Linked DNA regions of Oreochromis niloticus. The protein of the gene in region 2 binds, or shares a complex with, the protein of the main gene of each other region. Links are inferred from orthologs where the notes say so. Each region holds a gene or a part of one and is shown on either strand. Other genes may lie near its edges.

Region 1 (7,570 bases), on a different chromosome or scaffold from region 2:
GACGATGTCGTAACCTGCTCCCTCGCAGAGAACAATGGCCTCGTTGGTTGTTCTGGTGACACCTCCGAGTGTTCCCGAGGTCGGCGATGGCCTGATGAAGGCGTTCATGTCTCTTGAGAGCTCAGTCATACGAGTCTTATCGCCCATCAGAGACCCTGCAGCAAGAGGGATGAGTCACTTGGCAGCAGTTTTACTGTGCAGTGCTGCTCGTAATTGCTCAGTGATTTCAGCCTATTCAAAGGGGACCTATTCTGCTTGTTTCCTGCTCTATATTTTATATTCTCTCAAATAAAAATAGCCTGATTCATTTATGGAAAATAAATCGTTTGAAGCAAGCAATTTTAACTTCTCTCTCTTTAAGGCCACCCCCTGTGTTAGACAACTTTCTGCTGCCCTTTGCAAACAATTTTGAACAGCGGGTGGGCGGGGCTCTGCACCTGAAATGGCTGTGTTAAAGAGATCCCTGCTCAGTGACTTTACACCAAGAGCAGAAAGGAACAGTCTGAAACACAGTGTAATATAAACAGTACGATATTCCCTGAACCTGAAGCCAGCATCTTTAAACATTACATAAAATTTCCCTGTGCACTGTAAAGCTCAAAATAATAATAGTTCATCTGTGCCACAGTAAAAGCAGGTGATGAACGTGTCAGAGGTTACCCCCAGTGGTGCAGGAGGATGGGTCGACAGCCAGCACTGCAACTTTATGTCCACGTCCTGTCAACATCTTCCCCACCACCTCGATGAAGGAGGACTTTCCTGCTCCGGGGGGTCCAGACAGACCTGAGAAATCAAAGAGACCTCGTCAGTTTGCAACAAACAATGACAATTTTATTTACGTAGCACATTCCACTACATCAGTCGGTTATTGAATGTACCCACAGATGTAATTGATCTCAAGTGAGCAGGCAGCTTGTTCCAAAGACGCAGAGCACAGTTACTGAAAGCACCTTCAGGTTACTTGGATCTGATTGTGGAACCAGTTAAAAGAACCTGATGACCTAAGAGGTCTGACTTGGTTGTCAGACATGTACTGGAAGGCCAAACCATTGAGAGCTTTGTGAACTTACAGAAATGATTTTATATTGTAATGAGAGCCAATGAAGTGGTCTTCAATACTGGGGTAATGTGGTCGAATTTCCATGTACCTGTAAGGATTCTGGCTGCTATGTTTTGGATAAGCTGAAGATGTCCTGTTGATGCACTTTGCAATAATCTAACCTTTTTGATATGAATGCACGGAGTCAGTTTGAAATAGTCATTTCTAACTTTAGATATAAGTGATAGGTAACCTTATTGATCTGGTTATCAAAAGTGAGATCACTGTCCAAAATGATGCCTGACTTGTTCACTGTGTTTCAGAGAAATTAATGATAAATATGAACAGTATTTTTGTCTCTGACTTTTTTGGTCAAGTGTTTCTGTCTCGTCTCTGCTCAGTTCTAAAAGGTTTTAAGACATCCACATGTTAAGGTCATTAATGCAGCTTATTAGTTTGTGAACAGAGGTTAGATCATTATCGGAAAGTTACAAGTACAACTGTGGATCATCTGCATAAAAACGGTAGTCATGATTCTTGTGGGAGGGAGTTTAAAGGTTAAACTGTAATGGATAGCACCAAACAGCCCCAAGAGCTGATTTCTACTAACCTAATTTCAATTTGTGTGTTAAAGTAACTACACAGTTAAATCTGAATATTGTTTCTACTTTCTGCTTTGAAAACTTTAATAACACAGAGTTTAAAATTTAAAAATTTTAAACTCTGCAGGGTTTTTTTTAAACACACACTTCACTTTGGGGTCAAGTCTGAAGAAATTTGAAAGCGAAATTGTGTGACTGTATTTCTTTGCATGACATAGAACATCAGAGCCACTGCTGCAGAAACCGTCTCATAAAGGATTCATTGCACAGGTGACGTGTTTATACTACAAGGTGTGTTAATCATAAGGCCCCGGGGCAGAATTAAAACACAAAAGGGTCCTAATAAGCCCACTGAATGGCTTTGCAAAGCCTGAAAATTTCAGAGAATTCATTTCCCCCCCTGAACAGAAACACTGCTGTTCAGTTGTAAAATAGTCTTCATATGAAGGTTTCGTGCCTTTATAGCTCCACTGTGGTCTGTAGGTTAAAATGCACACACAATGGCAGTAGCCTTAGTTAAAATGTACTTATTTTAATACATTTTAGGTTCAAAGACACTTAGAGACAGGAAAAACTGAGTTCAGACAACCACCACAGACTTAAGCCTACACACCTACTCTGAAGGCCACTGGCTTTCCTCCATTACGGTTCTCCTGCTCCCTCCTGTAAGCCAGGACCCTCTGCAGCAGCACCTGAGCCAGCTCTTTCTTTCTGGGATGCTGGGTCTCCACCAGAGTGATGCACTCTGCCAAAGACGCCCGCTGTCCTCCGATCAGCCCATCATAAAGTTTATTCAGCAGTCTCTGCTCAGGCCCACTCAGGTCCTGTATGTGCTGGCTGGCTGCTGTGCTTTCAGTCCGTGTCTGCTGGCAGCTGTGAGCCGGGACGATGCTCCGGTACTGAGGGCGTGAAGCAGTGAAGCAGAGCCTTCTGTGAAAGCGGCACGTCCCGGTGAGAGCGAGGGCAGTAGATGAGGAGATGTGGCGGAGGAGAGAGAGGCTAAACCGTCTCATTATGTGTCAAAGGTAGGGTGGTCTGGGAGGGCGTACAGGCTTACAGTTAATTTAACCAGCGGTACTTCCAGCTGAGGTTTGTTTTGTTAGCTGTGCTTACAAACGTCACCGTTTAAGTTACAGCAGTTATAATAGTCACCGTCAGGCTAATGTTTATTCTTTCTAACGTCAGCACGTAACGTACTCGTTAAATGCAGTTGTTAAAGACGTAGTTTGGACAAAATACCTACAAAGTAGGTGAAAACTACACTCACTCTGACCTCGTCCCAGTTGCACGGAGACGTTACAGGTTACCTATCGCCGTCATTTCATTCATTCACTTCCGTTTCCGCTGACGTCTGACACCGCCCACCGCAGTATTTCCGCCGGTTTATTTAGGAAGTAAAAAGTTTCCTAAATACATCTAAAATGTGCCACAGAAGTTTAAATATGCGCGTCTTTATTTTTTTTTCTTGTTTTGTGTTTTTTTTTTTTTAAATAAAAGACGCAAGTAGTTAAATGAAAATTTAAATATGGCAGTTGGCCATTTTAGCCAGCAGGTGGCAGCAGATGTTAAACCTTCACGTCTTATCAACTCCAGGATTAATTCCCTTTAAAAATAATCGAACTTGATAATACATGCATGTGTTTTTAAATTAAATTAGTCAGTATTTCCGGCATGGATCGAGCCTTTAACCACTGTGGCCCCAGGCTTTGGAGCAGTCTTCTTCAGGGTGTGAGTGACACCACCGTTTTTCCCCTTGCAGCAAAAAGCACTAAACCTATTTTCAGCTTAGCCTTTATTTAGATTGTCCAATCATTTATTCTTCATTTAATTTTAAGCAACTCCCTTATTCAACAAGGATCACCTAACTGGTATCTATGGATCTTGGGAGGCGATTTTGGGAGGCAAGGCTGAGATGTTTCGGACATGTGCAGAGAAGAGATAGTGGAAATACTTGACAAATGATAGTGAATATGGGGCTCTCACTGTTATTAAAGTTGTGCAAAGATTGTGCTTATTGTACTCTCGAAAGAACTCTGGGTTTTAGAAAGACAGCTGAATTCAGTATGAACCTCATTATCATTCTTCACTGTGTTGCTGGAGCTTGAATAGTGGACCATACGTGAAAGTAATGACAACTCACTTTAAAAAAAAAGAAAAAAAAAAAAGGCCTTTTTTTAATTTATTTGATCACAAACACCAATTTGTTATCATTTTACTGGTAAAAAGAATCAATTAAAGGGGGGGGGGGGGGACTGGAGAAGCTGGTTCAAAAAGCCTTAAAACAACTAAGATGTGTTGAATACTTGGAAACATGTAGCACAGTAACAGGAGCTGGAGACTCAATACCAGTGAGAAACAAAATAAGAATTAGAGAGAAAATAATCATCTATAAAAATACATCTTATAATAAACTAAACTATTATTTTATCCCTGCTGTTTTTTAAGGTCTACAGTAAAACGAGTTTTCCTGTTTGGCTCAAATATAGCAATAATAATTTATACAATGCCATTTATGAAGAGGTTTCAGGGCCTGTATGTTGTGATGATTTAAATTCAGTTCTGTAAACAGTGTTGTGTGTCTGCATTTCAATCTCATACGGAAGAGACTCACTTTTATTCTGAGTACACTGCAGGCCTGAGACAGTCAGGCTAGAAAAACACTGGGATTATTCCACCTGACATGCTCGTCTGAGCAGTCTACAAGAAACATGCAGCCTTGTAGGAGGCGGCAGAACTAACCACACTGCAACCATGCCACCCACATCACAAAGTCAAATGAAACAGCTACACTCAAACCATCCAGTCACCAACTTCCAGAAGACCTTCCTGGAAGGTTGTTACAGTGCCATCACAACATGCGTCTTAAATAAAGGTGTGTTTGTGTGTGGTGGGGGGTTATTTTATGCATTTCCATGCAATTTACTTGAAAATGCAATTATGCTTAACACTGGTGCAGTTGGCTTTGACATGCTCTTGTAATTGTGCGTTTCTAATTGAAGGTCTACTTCCAAATATACATACAAACACAGGAGGAGCTCTTCCATCACTTCAGAGGACATTACAGTGACTTGCATTCATTTCCCACTTGACTAACTCTTACCTTAAACCAAGTCTACTCATTAAAAACATAATTAATGAGGGGATTTGCTGTTTGTCCCCAAAATCTGACTGGGTGCAACGATTTATGTCCCTACACAAGTACAAGCACATGTACTCTCACACACACATACACACACCAGCTGTTTCTGCAAGTCCCCAACAATACATGATGCATATTTTCTTAGCATGGGTGGCCTGTAATTAAACCGAGACACACAAAGACAAACATGCAGAGACAGTGGTCATGAAAGAGACAGAAATATTGCAAGTAATGAAACAAATTTATTGACTCTTCCAGTAGAGACTTGATATTCATGGAATAAAACTGCTTTTCTGGGAGTTTTTACTGAGCAAACCAGACAGAGGGAGCGAAAACAAAATAAAACCAAAACAAAGAGGCAACATGTGAAAGTGCAAACAAAACTAAAAATGTTCAAAAAATACAAAAAGAATGTAAAGAGTATAATAGTTTTACAGCAAACAGGATTGCTCAAAGCATAAAAATAATTGAATGGCAAAAATCTGCATTTTATTTAAAAAAAAGGATTTGGGGAAGTCAGTAGCTGACACCCTTTTCTCAGTCATGATTAAAATCTGAATGCTCAACTTTTTCCCATAACAGTCATTTAACACGTTTTGCTCAATGTAATAAGATGATGAGGCGCAGTCACTGAAATATTAATGTCCTCAATGCGACTCGACTCTGCATGACACATAAGATTCAGCTGCAGAGAATACAGCAGGGGACAAACTACACTGTACTTGTGTTTGCCTCCGCTTCATTTCATGTTCAGCTACCAGTCTTAAATGTGTAACACTACACTAACCAAACTAGGCTTTGCAAAACCAGACTGCACAGCACATAATCTAATAGTGAATATATCTAAACACTATCCGTTTTTTCCTCTTAAAATTCATTTGAAACACAAGATGAGCAACACTTAAAACTGTTTATGTCTGAAATGCCCTTTGAGTGCCATGCACCACACTAAACCCTACACTAAATGCTCAAACGGCCCTAATTTTGCCCTCATATTATTCTTCAGTACTTGTAATAGCGGATTTTATGTTGCTGTTATACAGATAACTTTAACTGCTCTCACTTATTATAACCTAAGAAACATTTTTGACAACCCAGCACACTTCTTTACATATCTGGAGATGAACATTTTCCTGCTAACAGTTTACATTTCAGAAGCACATTTCACGCCAACCTGACTGCAGTTGGACAGAAAACAGAAACCAACTGCATTTCGGCGACCTGGAATGTCCCAAAATTATTGTGACTACATTTGTATATCAGGATTTCCGAGGGAAGAATTAAATGGAAACTAGTTATGAGTCAGAATAGTAGAAAGATGAAAAAAAATGTTGTGGGAACAAGATCAAAGAGGATACTTGCATCAATATGAGTATGATGGTCTAATTATTACAGTTGGTCACAGAGATCAAGTATCTTCCAGTTGCATCACGCTCACCTTGCTTACTCCTCTCCCAGTCTGTAAATGTGCCCAATTCAGACATCCTTCAAGTAGAGAACAAACCCATTTAACAACCCGCCCAACCTCAAAGGTCCCGGAAAAGTTTGTATTTCAGTCAAAACTTCAAACAGTCTGACTCAAACACAAACCAGTCTGGCACCAGCTAACCCCTGTTCTCGCTACTTAAACCAAAATGCTGGGGTATGGACAGCCACGGGGCCGAGCACAGTGAAGCCTAGGAGACGGAGGATATGGGGTTGTGAGGGGAGCCCATCTGAGTCAGCACCTTATCCAACCACTGCAGGGGGCCGTGCAGGTGAATCTCAATCCAGCAGGGTGTGCTGGTCACATCTTGGCGGTGGTACTCTGCACCCCAGCCCTGAAAAGCACAAAAACACAGGTTTTATTTTCTTACAAGTTGGTGGATTTAAAAGAAAATGGAAAATACTAATTATTTTTGGACTGTCTCATTATAGATGTTTTACCACATTTAAATTAATTTTCACCTTAAAAAAGTGCCTTGTTTTTAAAACTTCTGAGTTTTAAAACCAGGGCATAGTTTAAGTGTGGAATGACAGAAAATTCATGGTGTAATAAATCTGCTTTCAGCTGTGAAAGACCATCGGCTGACATTAAAATGAAAGATTATCTGTAAAAATTAATGTGTATTTATTGTAGTTTTATGAGAATTTAATTTATAACTGTCAAATTATACAGTGTTACCACAAAATAGAGGCAGGCACATAGTTTCATTCTTAACTGGAATTATGTTGCACAGCATCAAACAAATACTGTGTGTGTGGCTGCTCAGCTGTTTGTACAACTGCTGCCATAGACCATATAAACCTTTTTTAAAAGGTAAAAGGCTAAACATCTATCGTCCAAAAACTTTACATTTTTTAGAAGGAAAATTCAAACCAGACTACCTTAACAAAGCTCATGCGGATAGTGCACATCTTGGTGAGCTCATAAACGGCCTCAAAGCCGTGGTTGACAGACTGAGCCAGCAGCTCAGCGAACTCCTGGTTGTTGAAAATCTTTAGGCTGCAGCCACTGGGAATCTTGCATACAGTTGTGGGATGGAAGCCGTGGTGATAATTGCAGTTACGACTCTGGACGAAGATACTGCTGTCACTCAGACATTCTGCATACACCTCCCCTCCAACGTAATACAGATGGACGCCTAATAGAGAGTATTAGAGTATTATCAGATGAATTAACATTGTGGTTGAGTCACTTTTATCAAAAGAAGCCAAACATCCGTGTGGTCAACCTGAAATCAACAGACTGGAACGTTTAGTCAATTTGTCGTTCCGTTGCTCGCCACATCTCAGTCCCTGCTCACAACA
Region 2 (7,265 bases):
AGCTGTTTCAGTACTGGCATAATGACACCACAACCTTAAATATAAAGACCACTGGACTCCAGATGTGAAATATTTAGACAGCTTTTTACAAAAAATAAGGTTCCAATCATTGGCACCCCTGTGACTGAATCTATATATTTGAAAATGTATTAAATATAGAGGAATACCTACTTTTTATTTACTTTTTATCTAATTTAATTTACAAAAATAACTTTAAAATTTAAAGGTTTTAATGTGGCACCTCTGTTGGTATTGTCAAATGAATGTGATGTAGTTATTTTTCACATGACTGAACCCATGTTAGCAAAAAACATGTAATTTGTGCAATTCCAAGAAAAACTTGATTTTTTTTTCTTTTTTTTGTGGTAAATTGCAGCAGAAATGAAGAGCACGCAATAACTGCATGTTTGTTTTTGTTAACAGTTAACGACTAATGGTTAACTGACTTTGCTTTTATGGTGATTCACAGTAATTTAATGGTTTGATATAAAAAAAACATTTGTTTACTGGTTAAATGTGGCTCATCACTGTCATTGTGCATTAATATTAATGTACGTTTTGTTCCTAAAAGGACATTTACTGAGCGTCTTATTCATTCACCAACATCACAACTGTTATTTGTTGATATTGTGACCATCACTGGCAGCAATCCTGCAGGCATTTGTGACGTGTTATAGCATAGATTTATTAGAAATATAAACTATTATTAAATAACATTATTATTAAAACATTTTGTCAACTTTTACCTTGGAGCAAATTCATCTATGGTTAAACCTGCTTTCAGTCCAGTGCGGCAGTACTCCAGGCCGTTAGCAATGGTGTAGGCTACTTCCAAGATGGCATCAGCGCCGGCCTCCTGAAGATGGTAGCCACTGATGGATATGGAGTTGAACTTAGGCATGTGCTGTGAACATGACCGTGGTAGTAAATCAGTTACACTGTGTTCAACAGCACCAGAAAAAAGGTTTCATTAAACCTGTGCTGGTACATACCTTAGAGGTATATGCAAAGATGTCTGCAATGGCGTGCATGGAAGGTTCCGGGGGGAAAATATAGGTGTTGCGCACCATAAATTCCTTCAAAATATCATTTTGAATCGTGCCAGTTAGTTTCTCTTTTGGAACGCCCTGCTCCTCTCCGGTGACAATAAACATTGCCAACACAGGGATAACTGCTCCATTCATAGTCATTGAAACAGACATCTTCTCCAATGGGATTCCATCAAAGAGCAACTTCATGTCCTCAACTGTATCTATAGCCACTCCAGCCATGCCCACATCTCCGTGGACCCTGGGGTTGTCCGAGTCATAACCACGGTGTGTCGGGAGGTCAAAGGCCACAGAAAGACCCTGCTGACCAGCTGAAACGAGAGGGTCAAAGAGTAGCGTAATAATTATTTCAACGCAAGTCTGGCAGAAATGTGAAAAACTTAGACCACAACAAAACCTACCCTTTATGTTGTCTTTATAGAACTTATTGCTCTCCTCAACAGTGCTGAATCCAGCATACTGCCTGATAGTCCAAGGTCTGTATGTGTACATGGTGGGATAGGGCCCTCTAGTGTAAGGAAACACTCCTGGCAACTCATCAACAACATCTTTTGAGTCTGCTTTGGTGTACACGGGCTTGATGTTAATCCCCTCGGGAGTGTGCCAGATCAGATCTTCTGGGTTCTTCCCCTTCAGCTGTTTCTTAGCCAGACCGGCCCATTCAGAATGCAGCTCAGAACGGTCCTGACAGGGTACTGAAGTATGGATCAGAGAGCAGTGTGTGAGGGATGAGGAGACTGAAGTTCTAACCAGGTGCCGGGCAGCCATTGCTGCACATGCCCTCTGTGCGGTCAGCATGCTTACTGTTGGCTTAATCACTCACACATGGAAAAACCTGGAGGCAGAAGAGAAAAAGCTGCTCAAATCAGCAGTTGTAGTAGGTTGGAACAATCTGGCAATTTCCAGTTAATGACTAATTAAATCTGTTTGACAGTTTAATACAAAACACAGCAGCAAGTGTCACTTGATAAACTAGAAATTTAAAGCTTACATGCAATGTTCTAATTTACTTGGGAAGATATTTTGCATGCATTGCTAGAGTTGCCTGTTTCATATCCTAAAGTGTTTTTGAAAGCAAATTAAATGATAATAAATTCATGTACTCAAACTTTATAGCAGATTGTAAGTGCAGGCTAGGTAGTCTGCAGTGATGTGGTTAAGTTTACAGAGATGGGCCGTGTTGGACGGTTGCAGGGCAGACCGAGGTATTGTGGTCACGGCTAGGTTTGGTCCTCGGTACCAGCAGAGACATTTACAAGAGAGAGATAGCAGTCAGTTCTAAAATGTAATTTATAAGATCATTTATATTTTAGGTTGAAAGTTATTGGTAGAAGTATAGCTACCAGGGGAGAAGCTTTTAAAATCTTATGTGTGCAAAGTTTGCAAACTTTTATGCAAATTGAATCAGATTTGACTGAATTATCTGCACATCAAGTTTTTATGGTTTGTTGACCTTTAAAATGCATTTCAATATGACTAAATCAAGTTAAGTAACAGGCGAGGGACACCTGCTCTTTCGTGGCGTATTTTAACGTACAGCTGATAAGAAATTAAAGAGAAGAAGAGAGAAGATGCTAACTAGTTATTAGCATAGTGGTAAAGAAACAAGCTGAACAAATACATGACAACATCACACTTTATCAAGTTACAAAACCACGCGGTGTTTAAGTCGCTGTGGTGGAATAAAACTAGAGACTTATATGAGAGCAATATGCAAAAAAAAAAAACAGACTAGGCTCGTTGCTAAGCTAAGTCAGCTAGCCGTAAAACGTTACCGAGCTGCACTCGTTTGCAATGGCGTAAACGTAAAAGCAAAACCGTGGTATACAACATGAGGCATATTGGTGCCTCGCGTGTTTAACAGTGAGTATTTTCAGAGATATTACAACAGAATTCTGACCTTGTCGTTTGTTTTCTTGTTCAGACTGATGACAGGCGTGTGTGCCTCTAGCCAATGGAGTTTGACAACAGAGACAGTCAGCCAATCGGTTGCGAGAATCAACTGCAGTACCCTTTGACCTATTACACCGGAAACACATGTTACAGCAAAGATATTTGACTGTCGTAGAGATGAGCGACACAAACAGTTGTTAGTATATGTGTATATTTCATTTGCTTTATTGAGTTATTCAGCTATTGATGTGGTTTTAATTGTAGTAAACAATTAGCACATACAGTTACCTTCATGGGATTGATACATATTTTTTATAGTGACCACCCTTATTCCCTGTTTTGTCAAAGCTAAGACTGAGAATTCATGTTTATTATTATTATTATTAGAGATTTCAGGAAAATTCAAAGTGATGCGGTGGGAAATACTGATAAAAAAAAACAGACGTGCAATGACTGCATATACTTAAAACCCATAGTTAAATAAAAAGTGGTAACAACATATCACGTTTTGAAACTGAGATAAAATACATGGACAAATCAGATAGTGATGTATCTCTATATTAGTTCATCCCAAAAATGCTAGATGGGGTTGAATTCTTCCACACCATACTTAACTAACCACACCTTTATGGATCTTGGTTTGTGCATTGCGGCAGTCACGCTGGGACAGAAAAAGAGCCTCCCAAAACTGGTCCCATAAAGTTAAAACATTTGTATTCATCTGAAAACCTCAATTTCTGGCCTGATGGCCATTAAATACAGGTTTTACAGGCCTTCTCCCCTGTATACAGATTTCTTGGCACACCAAGGATCTTTTTCTTGCAAAGAAATTGTATCCTTAAATGGAATAAGTATTAGTTTACTGTGTGTTTCTTGAAGTGATGAAGTCCTCCACATCTTGTCGTCTGAAAGCGAGATTCCAGATGTGAGTAAATGCATGGTTTACTTATTTTACAAATAATTCGATTACGGTTTCATAAAAATTTAACACACCATGTGAACTGGTAAACAGGTGCCTCTGGAGGTAGCGATCAGTCACTCACAAATCACACAAAGGACACAGACTTTTTAACATGGTGCATGCCACTTTATTCAAGAGTTGGTCAATAAACTGTCATAGTAGCAATGGCTCTTAAAGACTTCTGTACAGTATTGATTGGGTTCGATTTTATAGGGTACACTTGCAGTAAATGTTCACAAGGATTATAAAATATACCAAACACAGCAACATCATTCAGAGCATTCAGCAGGACAAGCCTTTTTTCAAAGTGGCGATGCAGACAGTGGTATATAATGCCCAGTAAATATACAGAGCAGACATTGTACTTTTAACCTATGTACCCTCCCCTCCACTGTTCGAACTGTAAGGCAATATATGTTTTGATTGCAATGTAGTACGGCTTTTCAAAGAGAACAGGGATCAACAAAATTTACAACATTAAATTAAGTTCAACAAAAAAAGCACGTGTAACAAACAAACCAAAATGTGTGTGTGTGTGTGTGTAAGAGTCTTGTACGACATGAACATTTTCTTGCAGCATCTAGCTCAAAACGATGGCAACAAAGCAGCGGAAGATGCGTTTAAATACCTAACTGAAGAAGAAAACGAAGGCTGTGAAAACAGAGAAACACAAGAGCGGGTGGCTGTGAGAGGCGACAGTCGGGTATGGTCTCCCGGTGGAAATGGGTTATGGTGAATGCAGCCCCATTAGCCTTCTACCTTTGCCTTCTACCCCATGCGTCACTCCAGCTTAAGCAGCTCCACATCAAAAATAAGGGTTGCGTTTGGTGGGATGACTCCGGGGTGGCCTGTTGTTCCATAAGCCATATCTGGTGTGCAGGTGATTTTAGCCCTCTGGCCCAGGCTCATCTGCAGCACAGGAGAAGAGGGGGGGAGGGGACAGCAGAACACACTGAGTATTGATGTGCATTTTCTTGTACTTTACGCCTACGCCCGAAAAGTCCCTTGTCACAGAACACAAAACACTTTTTGACTTGTAAATTAATACCCTATTCAAGTGTCCCAGTAAACAATAACAGTGTGACAGTTGGCAGGCAAACATAATACCAGGAACCTGAAACACAAGCAGATATTCGGAACTCAGGGTTTTTGTTTGCGTACTTTACCAAGAGGCCCGACCACAAGTAAAATATGAGATACTGCATAGTTTATTCTCCTTTCATAACAGATCTTGGTTTCTACTGTAAATGAGCACTTTCAAGCGGACAGCAATCAAGTCAGCTACTCAGCATTACATACACAACTGCAGAAAATAAGTAATCACAGAATCATCACGTAATATTTCACCCGGAGAGACATAAAAGTAAATTTTGGGGGTTTACCATCCTCCTCTTGCTCGTGCTTTTCCTCGGCACTGACATTTTCACCCAGTGAACAGAAGGTGACTCATAGCTATTTGATTTACGATTCAAGACCTGCAGTGCTTTCAGACAGTGAGCAGATTTACCCCCCTGCCCCCAACAACAGCAACAACAATGGTGTTCTCTAATCTGAATCAGTGGCAGCAGGATACAATGCATCTACGTCTCCCTGTACATGTCAGACTGCTGTTGCTGTTGATGCTGTGACTCCATTTGTCCTCATCTGTTTTCTCTAATTGAAAGCTCTGTAACTTGTAAATACCTCCACTGTTGTTTATATCTGTGTATTTTCTGTGGCTGCCATTATCATACAAGAGCTGAAGGAAGGAATTTGATAACGCTGAATCAATCTGAACTCCAATAGCTACAGTAGAATCTGTTTTACAGCCTCCCTCTCATTGCTGCTGACCACTGCAGTACATCTAAGCACAATTTTTTAAAAAACTGCAGTGGTGCACCTGTTCACTGTATGAGAGCACCTTCAGAATAGCAACTAACTGGTAGGTATGATCGATTAAAACCTGGCAGTATAAATGGATACTTAGAACATGGAATGCATAACGCGCTGCTTAATACTAGAAGACAAAACAAGCAGGGCCTCAACCTTCCTCTCTTACCTGTGCTACTCCTTCTTCCCAGCCTTTAATGACCTCGTTATGTCCAATCTTGAATTTGAAGGGCTTGTTCCTGTCTCGAGAGGAGTCGAACTTTTTCCCGTTCTGCAACATACCTGCCAAAGAAACATATGAAAACAAAATTTAGAGGCAAAATAAAGACAAAACTCAAAAGTGCATGGGCATAGTTAGCTACTGCAATAACCAGGAATGTTTCTGGTGGGACTTCTTGGGTCTGTTTCAACTACTCAAATGAACAGAGGAAATTTGAATCAGGAAGCACTGGCCTGGTTTAGTGGATTATTTTTAAAGTTAACTAGGCCATTGCTTAACTATATGTAGACCACAGTGAGCGAAAGGGGTAACAAAGGCAAAGCGGTGCGAGACTCAGCTCCTTCAGAACAATGACTGACCATTCAGGCATGACGGGGCTGTTGTTGCTGTGGCGGTTAAACTACTAAAGGCATGAAAACACTAAGTCATTTCATTAGCCACAATCTCAATCTCTGTTCTTCTACTTTGATAAGTCGTGAACTTTGGGAACCTTTGGCAGCCAGAAAAAAGCAACAGCAGTAAGGTCTTTAATGGTGTTTGTTATTTTCTCTGCACAGTCTATTGTCGTGGAACAGGAAACCTGTAACTGCAAACAAAGTTCAAATAACTGAGCTTAGAGATTCAGAGATTATACGATATAATGCAATGCCGTGCATTACCATTCAATATAATAATGTGTTTTATTTCAAGTAATTAGCATATGTAATCTAAGATTTTGTCCTCCATCCTCTAGAAATACAGATTAAAAGATTTTGTTTTTACATAAATAAATTAAATAATAAAAAATAATAATAATTCGCTATCACTTTGGAGGTTGTTCTGGTTATTTTATCTCTAGCCATAGTGTGAATACTTGGCATTTAAAGCTGGTGTTAGCTGAAGTTTAGTTACAGTGTCTTGCTCATCCAGTCATGAAAGTTGGTACTGTACTCCTTCTCCACTTTCATTCCCCCACTAAACTTAGAAGGTCCATCATTTCCAAGAAGTCCAGTAGCCCAGATATGAGCGGGCTGGGCCAGGTCCAGCTGCGGAGTCATCAGGTTCACACACCCTGGTGAATACCACCTGCTGCAGGGCATTCGAGTAGCAGAAACACAAAACCTTCTTGCAGAAAAGTCGTTTGAGTTTCTAGCAGCAGATGGCTGCACACTGAAGAAAAACACTGACGCAGAAAATGCATTTCAGCTAAACTGCTGAACAATTAATTCAATGCATACTCCTGCACTGCTGTAACAGACATGCTTACAGCCAGTCGTTGAACAGGTGTTGTCCG

Evidence for each region.
Region 1: the proteins of mmut (region 2) and mmaa are in contact, whole or in part, in a crystal structure (PDB 8GJU), measured with the Homo sapiens proteins. The link is inferred for Oreochromis niloticus from reciprocal best matches to the Homo sapiens genes MMUT and MMAA. Residues at the interface, in NP_000246.2 of Homo sapiens: Lys496, Glu609, Arg610, Glu611, Gly612, Arg613, Arg614, Arg616, Ala635, Thr636, Ala639, Asp640, Gly642, Phe643, Asp644, Val645, Asp646, Ile647, Gly648, Pro649, Leu650, Phe651, Gln652, Glu656, Gln659, Gln660, Val662, Asp663, Ala664, Asp665; in NP_001362573.1 of Homo sapiens: Arg98, Ala99, Ala102, Glu103, Thr106, Glu109, Ser110, Thr111, His112, Ser182, Ser186, Gly187, Gly188, Ser189, Leu190, Leu191, Lys194, Thr195, Met197, Thr198, Ser201, Arg202, Met204, Tyr207, Ile208, Arg209, Pro210, Ser211, Pro212, Arg214.

Annotation. Positions count from the first base shown.
Region 1 is NC_031971.2:16,405,051-16,412,620, forward strand, and holds the start of mmaa (methylmalonic aciduria type A protein, mitochondrial), read right to left. Parts: upstream 3,013-7,570; 5' UTR 2,909-3,012; exon of another isoform or gene 2,677-2,908; 5' UTR 2,655-2,676; coding exon 2,255-2,654; intron 784-2,254; coding exon 661-783; intron 156-660; coding exon 1-155. Other genes in the region: smad1 (mothers against decapentaplegic homolog 1), read right to left, coding at 6,457-6,600, 7,148-7,404. UniProt on the Homo sapiens protein: GTPase, binds and hydrolyzes GTP. Involved in intracellular vitamin B12 metabolism, mediates the transport of cobalamin (Cbl) into mitochondria for the final steps of adenosylcobalamin (AdoCbl) synthesis.
Region 2 is NC_031980.2:3,621,924-3,629,188, forward strand, and holds the start of mmut (methylmalonyl-CoA mutase, mitochondrial), read right to left. Parts: upstream 3,075-7,265; 5' UTR 2,950-3,074; intron 2,849-2,949; exon of another isoform or gene 2,825-2,848; intron 1,885-2,824; 5' UTR 1,848-1,884; coding exon 1,451-1,847; intron 1,361-1,450; coding exon 993-1,360; intron 905-992; coding exon 747-904; intron 1-746. Other genes in the region: peptidyl-prolyl cis-trans isomerase FKBP1B, read right to left, coding at 4,684-4,812, 5,942-6,054. UniProt on the Homo sapiens protein: Catalyzes the reversible isomerization of methylmalonyl-CoA (MMCoA) (generated from branched-chain amino acid metabolism and degradation of dietary odd chain fatty acids and cholesterol) to succinyl-CoA (3-carboxypropionyl-CoA), a key intermediate of the tricarboxylic acid cycle.